Linked DNA regions of Callithrix jacchus. The protein of the gene in region 3 purifies or fractionates together with the protein of the main gene of each other region. This does not show direct contact. Links are inferred from orthologs where the notes say so. Each region holds a gene or a part of one and is shown on either strand. Other genes may lie near its edges.

Region 1 (3,652 bases), on a different chromosome or scaffold from region 3:
GAAGTCTTATGAATTCCCCTGTATACATTATCCAGTTTAAAAATTAGCAACATTCTATTTCTTTTTTATAAAATAAAGGATATTTTATTCAGAGGAGTTTAACAATATTCTCTTATTTTCTCTTAGGTGGTGCTTTGTAAATTTCACTCCGTGTTTCTGTCTCAGAAAGGGCAGGTTTATACCTGTGGTCATGGTCCTGGAGGGCGATTAGGACATGGAGATGAACAGACATGCTTGGTAATTGAAATGTCATTACACTGTTTAGGTAACTTTAGAAAAATAGTTACCATAAGCTCAAATGTTGATAACCTAGTTCAGTACCTATCAGAAAATTGGTTCATTAGGTTATTTTAAGATTTTTTTTTGTGGGGACTTTAGGTATACTTATCTATTAAATGGTGCTTTAAAAAGCAGGGAAAGCTACAATGATAATAGCTTCCATTTTTGAGGGTTTATTTTGAGGATTCAGTTAACTACATTTTTTTTCAATTGTAAGCAAGGAATTATACACCAATTGATAATAGATTTAAAATAATCTGTTTCTTGGTATATCATGTTCAAATTAAGGATTTATACACAATGCAGAAGTATCAAAGAAAAATAATACTTTGCTTATAGCAAATACTGAGTCTGGAAGGTATATAAAGTAAGCTTTAAAATGTTTCCAGAGTTGAAATAAAAGAAGGCATACTAGTCCGGGCCTGTGGCTCACACCTGTAATCCTAGCACTTTGGGAGGCCGAGGCGAGTGGATCACCTGAGGTTGGGAGTTTGAGACCAGCCTGACCAACATGGAGAAACCCCGTCTCTGGTAAAAATACAAAATTAGCTGGGTGTGGTGGCGCATGCCTGTAAATCCCAGATACTCGGGAGGCTGAGGCAGGAGAATCGCTTGAACCCTGGAGGCAGAGGTTGCGGTGAGCAGAGATTGTGCCACTGGACTCCAGCCTGGGCAACAAGAGTGAAACTCCATCTCAAAAACAAAAAAAAAAAAAAAAAAAAAGGAAAGCAGGCAGACTAATTGTAAAATGCTTTTCCTGAAGTAGTTCTGGTTTATGTTTTTAACTTCTCATTAAGATTTCTGTGGCCTTAAAATTGAGCCAGTATTTGCATTGTATGGTCACAAAGTTGATATTTATGCTTCTGAAACTTAGTGCTAATTAGAAGAAATCTATTTCATTACCTCTCAGAAAATTGGTTCACTAGGTTATTTTAAGTTTTTTTCTTTTTTTTGTGGGGACTTCTGGTATACTTATCTATTAAATTGTACTTTAAAAAGGTGGGATAATAGCTTCCATTTTTGAGGGTTTATTTTGTTCCAGGCATTGTTTATGCTTTTCATACATAATTTCTACATTAACTTAAGCCTCACAACAGCCCTGTGAGGCACAGGTATTATTTACATTTAATGCAGGACGATGGTACTAGTAATAGCAATCATGTTTTCAGATAAGGAAAATGAGGTATATAGAGGTTAAAAAATTTGGTTGAGATCAAATAGGTAGTAAGTGACAGCAATAAGATTTGAACCCAGGATAGATAAATGACTCCAAAGGAATCTGGTATTATATGTTTGGCTACTCCGTGAAGGGAAGCATTGATTCTGTGTTTTTGTTTTTTTCAATATACCAGTGAATACTTTGATGAGCTGCCTTTATTCATACCAAACAAATTTGTACTTGTTATATGGTGAGGGCTCAAAAATCATTTGTTGAATTGAATTATTTCACTGAAATGTTTTACTGGGCTTTTCTATTTTGTTCATAAACTTGCAACCATATCCTTTTAAACTCATCTTCTCTATGCTGAAATGTAGAATTTACCTATGATAGATATAACTATGTATCAGTCATGTCATTTTGGATGTAGTATCATCAAATTCTATTTGCATATCTCTATAAATGGTTAATGCAGTGTACTAAAGTTAATTTTATTTTGTAGGTCCCTCGATTTGTGGAAGGGCTGAGTGGTCATAATTGTTCCCAAGTGGCAGCTGCTAAGGATCATACTGTTGTATTAACTGAAGATGGATGTGTTTATACATTTGGCCTAAATATTTTTCATCAATTAGGAATTATTCCTCCTCCTTCCAGTTGTAATGTACCTAGACAGGTAAACTTGACTCTTAAATAATAAAGGCTTTACATTTGCAATAAAACCTGTATGGACAAAAAAAAAAACGTAAGTTATCGACAGAGCAACTTATTTCTGTTATTTAACTTTATCTTCAATGGTATATATTGTCTTTATTATTTATTGTTATTATTATTTTTTTGAGGCAGAGTCCTATTCTGTCACCCAGGCTGGAGTGCAGTGGTGTGATCTCGGCTGACTGCAACCGCTGCCTCTTGGTTTCTCTTGCCTTAGCCACCCGAATAGCTGAATAGCTGGAATTACAGGTGCACACCCCCGTTCCCAGCTAGTTTTTTTTTATATTTTTAGTACAGACACGGTTTCACCATGTTGGCCAGGCTGATCTCAAACTTCCGACCTCAGGTGATCCTCCTGCCTTGGCCTCCCAAAGTGCTGGGATAACAGGCGTGAGCCACTGTGCCCAGCCTGTTATCTTTATTTTTAACAGGAGAAATTAAGCATAGTAAATATTAGCATTTGTTTGGAGTAAGAAAGAAAGCACTTGGGAAATTCAGCACTTGGGAGATTAGCCACCAACTGTCTCTTTTGAGGATTTATAAGCAAAGGGAGGTCCAGATATTTTGGGTTTGAAACTTAAAACACTTTTTAGGCCATCCTTAAGAAAAAATCTGAAATTTATCCATGCAAAATGGGCTCATGCAAGTGAGGAACCCAGAGTCTTAAGTTTTATTTACATCATTAAATCTGCCCCTGCACAGGTAACACATGTGACAAGTTGATATGAGGGGACATGGGTCCAAAAACCGGTGTTCTTTATTCTACTTCCTTACTCTCATGTGTACAGCCTTCTCCAGAAGGTACACAGTGGTGCATAGGACAATCTCATGCCCAAAAGTCATCTAGCCCAAAATGTCAATAATGCCACTGTTTAGAGACCATGGAAATATCAAATTTAAAAGCACTGTGTTTTCTATTAAGAATGAAACTGGCTGTTTTGCATACTACTTGTTAGAAAAAAATATAGCTAAAAGTTAAAAAATTTGATTTTTGTACTGAAATATTTGCTATTAAATTAGAAAATTTCTGTTAAATTAGAAAATAGACATGGTATAAAAATTAGTTAAAACTGCTGACTGATAAGGCTGCATTACAATGTTTTGTGTTCTGAGAAGGGTTCAGTTCTTAGTATAAGTGCTGAGCTCTATTAGTGACAACTTCCATTTGCACTTGAGGGGGCATGAACAGCAACTATACCGTATATTTGCTTGTCTGCTGGATCTTTGAAAAATTGTACTAGATCATAGACATATAGTAAATTGCAGTTTTGTCTTTGAATAGATACAGGCAAAATATCTGAAAGGAAGGACAATCATTGGTGTTGCAGCAGGCAGGTTTCATACAGTCCTGTGGACTAGAGAAGCTGTTTACACTATGGGACTAAATGGTGGACAACTGGGTAAGAAATCCTTGATGATAATATCTGGAAATTAAATTGGACTCTTAAAAATGTTTCCTTTCTAATTTTTATCAGTTAGAATGGGATTATGAATGATTTTTTT
Region 2 (4,371 bases), on a different chromosome or scaffold from region 3:
AAGTGCTGGGATTACAGGTGTGAGCCTCTGCGCCTGGCGGATGCCTGCCCTTCTTTCCCACTCAATGTTACTATGCTTAAGACAAGGCCCCTGCTGGGGGGTGGGGCTGGGAGTGATCTTGGCAGGTCTAGCTGGGAAGAAAATCCTTATCAACAAATGTCACCCAGCATAGGACACTGGGGAGCTGATCACTGGCTGCTGGTCAAAGGGTGCTCCAGTCCTGGGGAAGGCCTAGGTTAGAATTCATCCGCAGAGTTCAGTTAAGGCTGCTCATTAGATATGGCGGCTCAGATCATGTCCCCAGCCAACTTGGGAGGTGGCAAGGTTCATCCGGACGAAGGTGGCATTTAGATTTGGGCACTGTCCTTTCCCCTGCAGGGTGACCTTGGGCCAGTCACTTTTCCTCTCAGTGTCCTATGGAAATGGGTCTCCTCATTCCATTCACCTCTCAGAGCGTCTGAGGAAGAAGTGTCGACACAATGGGTGTGAAATGCGTGGTTAAGGGCAGGAGGGTAGCATTGGTTATGCGAAGTCCCGGCAGCGGGTCCCTACCCAGCAGGTTCCATTCCGGTTAAGCGGTTCCTTCCCCAGTAACCGGGGTTTCTCGCCTCACCACTGCTTTTCCGTCCCTGCAGGCAGGATCCAGCAAACAGCAGGCTCCATTACCAGGGGCCATTACCATTGTTTTTCGAGGCTGGGCGGTAGGAAAGGACTCTCGCAGGCCAGACCTCGCCTTTGGTCTCTGCCTCTGCCCCGCACCCGCGCGGTAGCAAGCCCGAGAAGCCCCGTCGCCGATCTTTGCCGAGGAAGCGAGTTAGCCACTGAGCGCTCCCGAACGGAGGCCGAAGGCGCACCCGAGTGTCTCCGAAGAACCCCGACCCCTCTCAGTCTCCGGAAAGAACCGAAGAGGCTTCCCACCATCGGCCTCCCGAGCTATTCCGAAAAAGCACGAAGTTTTCCGAGCGGCCGTCCTGCCGGACTGCTGGAGGCGGCCGCAGCGCCATGTTGGATGCTCTGCTCGTTGAGTGAAGAAAATCCGCCGGCATCGCCTGAGCCCCGCTACCGAGAAGGGTGCCGCTTCCCCCGGGGAGGGGGATAAAGATCCCCCGCTGCCGGCCCATGAGGATATTGCCGTGAAAGGTCCGGTCTCTCCGCCTCCTGCCCCCGCCGGGTCCGGCCCCCCCCCTGGGGTCGCGTTGTCACGGAGACCGGCAGCCGGTGGTGCTGGCCCGCGGGGCGGCTGCTGCTGCCGGCGGCGGCGGCGGCGGAGGCGGCGGCGGCGGCGGCGGCGGCGTCGGGCGTGTGTGACCGGCCCCGGCCCCCTCCTCCTCCTCCTCCCAGGCTCCCCCCAGCCCCCAGCTCCCGCCGCCTCCCCGGGTCTGCCCCCATCCCGCCCCCCCGCTGTCCCTGGCCCCTGCACCCCGGCGCGCCCGGTCCTGCTCTGGGGGGGTTGGTGGCTTCGCTTTGCCATGAGTTTACCGCAGAAACCGGCTCTGAAATCAGGCACAGCGACTGCAGCAGGAACCGGACCCGGCACCGGAGCGGCGGCGGCGGCGGCGGCAGCAGTGGTACCGCCTCCTCACCCGGCGGCGGCGGCAGCAGCAGCGGCGGCGGCGGCGGCGGCCCCCCCTCCTCACCCGAACATCAGGGCCCTCCAGACCCAGGCGCCCCAACAGTATCCTTTTCACCTTCCTGTCGGCCCTTCGGTTGTCGTCGTCGCAGCCCAGGGGGACCCCGCAGCCCAGGGGACCTTCCTGCGGACCGCCACAGCCCAGCCAGGAAGGGGGCTGCCGCTCAAGCCCCTCCTGCATTGGGCTTGGCCGGAGCTTTTGGGGTGCCTGGCGGCAGCACTGCAGAGGGAACCTCAGACCTTATGTAGTACTGTGAAAGCTAGCTCCACTTGTCCATGCTTCTGCAGCCCCTTCCTTTTAGAGCTGGGGGACCCTTCACCCCTCCTCCTTCCCTAAGGTACCCTCCCTCCCTTTATTGGGCAGAATTTGCTTGGTGCCTGGGACCAACCCTGCAGGGAAGGCTTTTCTCTGATTATTGTGAGGATTACACCCTCCTACTCCTCACCTCCCCTCGGCGCCCCCTACAGTGGGGCGCAGTGGGCTTTCCTAATTACTATTAGTACATAATAAACTTTATCGGTGAATTTCTTGTTTAAAACTAATCAGCTCGTTTCCGAGGTAAGTTGGATTTTCAGTGTAAGGTGAAAATGTACAGAAAGCAGCCCCTCTGGATAATTTTTTTTAGAAATGGGAGAGTTGTGATGTGGTTTGTGGTAGAACGAGATCTGAGGAAATGTGACGCTGGACGCTTCCCTGTCTTTGACCTTTTTAAAGGAAGAGGAAGTTCACTGACATTACCCATCACCCACAAAAGTGTCACTTCTTGGAAGATTTGTGTTAAGCTGAATATTTTTAATGGGCTTTAATTTACTCTTCATAGGCCTGATGTCTAGAGAGTTGTCAGGGCTTCTGGAGGAAAGTCTAGTATTGAATGTTTCTAATTTCATGTTACTTGCTCGATAGTAGAATTTTGGACAGCTTTGATTGAAAAGACTTGGTCTTTTAGTCAAAAACTAGACGGTGAGGGTAAAACGTTGAATTCATGAATTCCACGGAGATTTAGAAAGGTATTGCGTACCTGAGAATAACATTTCATAATGCATCCCCTCCTCCCTACACCCACTGTATATGTGTAAATCAATAAATAATGATTGGATGTTAGATGTGTTGTGTTTTTGTATTTGTGTCATCGTGTGTTTGACTTGTAGAGATTGTAGGGTGTGTGTTTGAGCAAGTTAGAAGCTAACTGCTGTGAGGTCCCCAGATTATTTCACAGACTGTAGTTTGATTCTTGTCTGTATAGATTACTTTGAGAAGGGAAAACAATCTCCCTTAGAGTCATTTCAGGTCATTGTTTGGTTTCTGTCAAGTGTCGTTTTCTCTGTTCTTTAAATATAGTTCACGTTTTTCAATCCAGGCACCGTGGCGCAGTGCAAAGATGAATTCCATTCCAGTGTGATGTGTGTACTGATTTAATAATGTTTTAATCCTGCATGATTCTGTTCAATTAGGAGTTGCTCACCGATGAGAAAGTGTAATGATAACTTAGTGTTGCTTATAGAAAACATGGTTAGTTTTGGTCAATGTCTCTAGCTGCTTTATGGTGAGGGGAGAAGGGGTAAGGTTGACTGGTTTGCTTACTTCAAGGCAGAGTTCAGTGATGGATCTCTTAAACCTATTTTAATAATTTGTCAGTTTAAATTACTTTCTAATTTCATTTTTTTACCTTGATTGCCTATACTCGGTTAGGACTTTTAAGTTTCTGAATTGTACCACCAAGTAAATTACTCATTACCTGCATCTTTGAGCTGTTTAGGCAATTAAACAGAAATGAAGGGAAACCTATGGTAGGTGTCCTTGATATACAAAGTAGTAAGAACTGCAGTGCTGAATGTGACACTGCTTGGTGAATTTGGTGGCTTTTTGGGACACAAAGAGTTGTGACATAAGTGTTTCAAGTATACTTTTTCTCAGTGCATTTCATAGAAGGACTTATAAAAGCTCTGAGTTGGTTGCAACATACAAGTAGTTACAAAAGCTGAAACTTAGTTTTCTTTTGAATAAAAAGCAGTTGTTAAATAGATAAATTTAAGGGTAATTTCCAGTATAGAGCATTTAAACCTATTTGTAGTAATATGGAATACTTAGTTTTATGTGGCTTTAAGTTTTTAGTTTGCCTCATGCCATTGAAGCTAAAGTTAATCTTCCTCTTGATGTGTTTCACAGCTTTTAATATTTTCTCTTTGCTTTTACACACTGAAAGGTTACAATTGCAAAAATGGAAAATTTTATATGAACAGCAAATGAAGTGTAGGTTGTAGATTTCATCGGAACATATACCAGTGGTGAAGTGTTATCAATTGGTAATGGGATATTGATTTAAAAGGATTGAAATAGAGCAGTTCTACTTTTCTACCCTGAGGGAGTATGGGAGTTTGTATTTGACGCAAGTTGTCATTGTTCAGTAAGTTGATAACATTTAAGCATCTTGGCAGGAGTGCTTAGCTGGAGTTTCACTTTTCATGGCTTGAATATATCTCCAGACACTCAAAATATATGGGTATGGTTGTGTTTGCATTGAATTAATAAGTTCAGTCAGTCACCCGCCCCCCGCCCCCCGCCCCCAGTCTCAGTCTTGTTGCCCAGGCTGGAGTGCAGTGGTGCGATCTCAGCTCACTGCAACCTCTGCCTCCTGGGTTCAAGTGATTCTCATGCCTCAGCCTCTTGAGTAGCTGGGATTACAGGCGTGTGCCACCACTCCCAGGTAATTTTTTGTAGGGCGTCATCAGCCTCCCAAAGT
Region 3 (2,309 bases):
TCTTGACAAGAATCCGAATGGGGTCCCTCATGAACTTCTTGGTCACCTCAAGCACGTCAGAAGGCATTGTAGCTGACAGCAAAACTACCTAATGGAGAAAAAGGCCAGCCTTAGAGCCTTTCTTAGGTGTCCTTTCTGACGCCTGCTCCCTTCCCTAGTCACACCTAAAACTGAAGTGGGTGGACGAGCGAGGTGGCTCAAGCCACCTTGTAATCCCAGCACTTTGGGAGGCCCGAGGCAGGTGGATCACGAGGTCAAGAAATCGACCCCATCCTGGTCAACATGGTGAAACCCCGTCTCTACTAAAAATACAAAAAATTAGCTGGGCACGGTGGTGCATGCCTATAATCCCAGCTACTCGGGAGGCTGAGGCAGAATTGCCTGAACCCAGGAGGCGGAGGTTGCAGCAAGCCAAGATTGCGCCATTGCACTCCAGCCTGGGTAAAAAGAGCAAAACTCTGTCTCAAAAAAAAAAAAAAGTGAAGTGGGTGCCAAAAAAAAAAAAAAAAAAAGTCAAGATAGCAATCCAAAATTTGGTTCTTCTAGCACTTGCTATTTTTCTTCTAGAAAATAATCACTGCTGGGTGTGGCGGTTCATGCCTGTAAGCCTAGCACTTTAGGAGGCCAAGGCGGGCAAATACCTGAGCAGTCAGAAGTCTGAGATCAGCCTGACCAACATGGTGAAACCCTCTCTACTAAAAATACAAAAAATCAGCTGGGCAGAGCTACCACAGCACTCCAGCCTGGCCAACAAGAGCCAAACTCTGTCCTTAACTATTTTTTTTTTTCAGCTATTCAAGCAAGACTGCCCTCACCTGGGTGTTGCTGTTGAGCTTTTGGAAGATGTCATAGATCTGGTCCTTGAATCCACGGCTTAACATTTCATCAGCTTCGTCCAGTACAAACATTTTGATGTATTTGGGAGCTAGAGAATAAAAAAAGCCAATATACAGCATATAATTAGGTAAATGTGTGATATATGTACCCAACTTTCCTGATAACAGAGGGACCAAGTAGTCTGCTCTCAGAATACAAAGACTGATCCTTTGCCGAGGACTTTCCTGCCTGGCCAGACATCAGCCCTGGCAAGTAGAACACTGCCTGGGCTGCACTGCCAGGAAAGCCAGACTCAGATGACACGCATGGGCCTCATCACAGAGCAACTCTTCCCATAAGGGAAATGAGCATCCTCAGGAATGACTTTGGCTTAAGCTGAAAGACGCGGAAAGCATGCATGAGAGGAAGTGACCTAGGGGACTGTTGAACTCAATTACTTACACAGGTACCTCCGGTTAAGCATATCGAACACACGGCCAGGGGTTCCCACGATGATATGGGGAGCTTCCATCTGCAGTTTCTGCACCTCAGCACGAACATTGGTGCCCCCAATACAGGCGTGACAGGAGGCACCCATGTAGTCTCCTAGTGCCATAACCACCTTCTGTATCTGAGCCCGGAGAAAAACAGGTGCTCATATATTAGCTCCAACTGTGCCAGGCACCACCATTCAATGTTTTTCACATACTTATTCCTAACCAACCACCCTGGGGGGTGTGCACTATTAGTAAACTCACATTCAGCTGAGAAACTGGCAGAGGTTAAAATCCTTAAGATCGTGCTGTCAATAGGTGGCAAGACAGGATTTCAACTCAGTCTGGTTCCTGAGTATACAGTGAGTCACAATAAAGCCGCTCAGATAATTCAGTGTCTTATTCTAGACATTCAGAACCCTTAACTTTCTGAAAGCTAATTTGACTAACAGTTTTGCTCGTCATCCAGGTTGGTGTGCAATTTGGAGTGCAACGGCACACAACCTTGGCTCACTGCAATCTCTGCCTCCCAGCTTCAAGTGATTCTCCTGCTTCAGCCTCCCAAGTAGCTGGGATAACCACTGCCTGCCAACATCACCATGCCTGGCCAATTTTTATATTTTTTTAGTAGAGATGGTGTTTCACTATGTTGGCCAGGCTGGTCTAACTCCTGACCTCAAGTGATCTGCCTGCCTCAGCCTCCCAAAGTGTTTGGATTATAGGAGTGAGACACCGTGCCCAGCCAGCAACCGGTTTTATAAAACAGTTGAGCACATCCATGTTCTATTGCACTCCTGCCATAGGACGCAAGCTACAAGGCATATTCACTCAGAAAAACTGAGTCCCAAATGCCTTAGAACAAGAGCTCTGCTGTAACTTTACATTATTCACACCCAGAATAGTCACTGCATCTGCCACAGAACGTTTAATGCCCTGAGCCTCAATAAGTGCTCTATTTGAGACTACTGTCTCGGCATGACCCAGGAAGAAGAGTCCAGC

Evidence for each region.
Region 1: the proteins of EIF4A1 (region 3) and IBTK purify together in Homo sapiens (co-immunoprecipitation; 4 studies listed by BioGRID and IntAct, counting the BioPlex papers as one, with this or other methods). This does not show direct contact. The link is inferred for Callithrix jacchus from reciprocal best matches to the Homo sapiens genes EIF4A1 and IBTK.
Region 2: the proteins of EIF4A1 (region 3) and EIF4G3 purify together in Homo sapiens (co-immunoprecipitation; 6 studies listed by BioGRID and IntAct, counting the BioPlex papers as one, with this or other methods). This does not show direct contact. The link is inferred for Callithrix jacchus from reciprocal best matches to the Homo sapiens genes EIF4A1 and EIF4G3.

The regions. Positions count from the first base shown.
Region 1 is NC_133505.1:87,752,320-87,755,971, reverse strand, and holds part of IBTK (inhibitor of Bruton tyrosine kinase), read left to right. Parts: intron 1-126; coding exon 127-237; intron 238-1,940; coding exon 1,941-2,111; intron 2,112-3,431; coding exon 3,432-3,549; intron 3,550-3,652. UniProt on the Homo sapiens protein: Acts as an inhibitor of BTK tyrosine kinase activity, thereby playing a role in B-cell development. Down-regulates BTK kinase activity, leading to interference with BTK-mediated calcium mobilization and NF-kappa-B-driven transcription.
Region 2 is NC_133508.1:58,037,251-58,041,621, reverse strand, and holds the start of EIF4G3 (eukaryotic translation initiation factor 4 gamma 3), read left to right. Parts: upstream 1-1,447; 5' UTR 1,448-1,469; coding exon 1,470-1,675; intron 1,676-4,371. UniProt on the Homo sapiens protein: Component of the protein complex eIF4F, which is involved in the recognition of the mRNA cap, ATP-dependent unwinding of 5'-terminal secondary structure and recruitment of mRNA to the ribosome. Functional homolog of EIF4G1.
Region 3 is NC_133506.1:74,068,784-74,071,092, reverse strand, and holds part of EIF4A1 (eukaryotic initiation factor 4A-I), read right to left. Parts: intron 1,448-2,309; coding exon 1,279-1,447; intron 1,162-1,278; exon of another isoform or gene 1,021-1,161; intron 956-1,020; exon of another isoform or gene 926-955; coding exon 816-925; exon of another isoform or gene 792-815; intron 89-791; coding exon 1-88. UniProt on the Homo sapiens protein: ATP-dependent RNA helicase which is a subunit of the eIF4F complex involved in cap recognition and is required for mRNA binding to ribosome.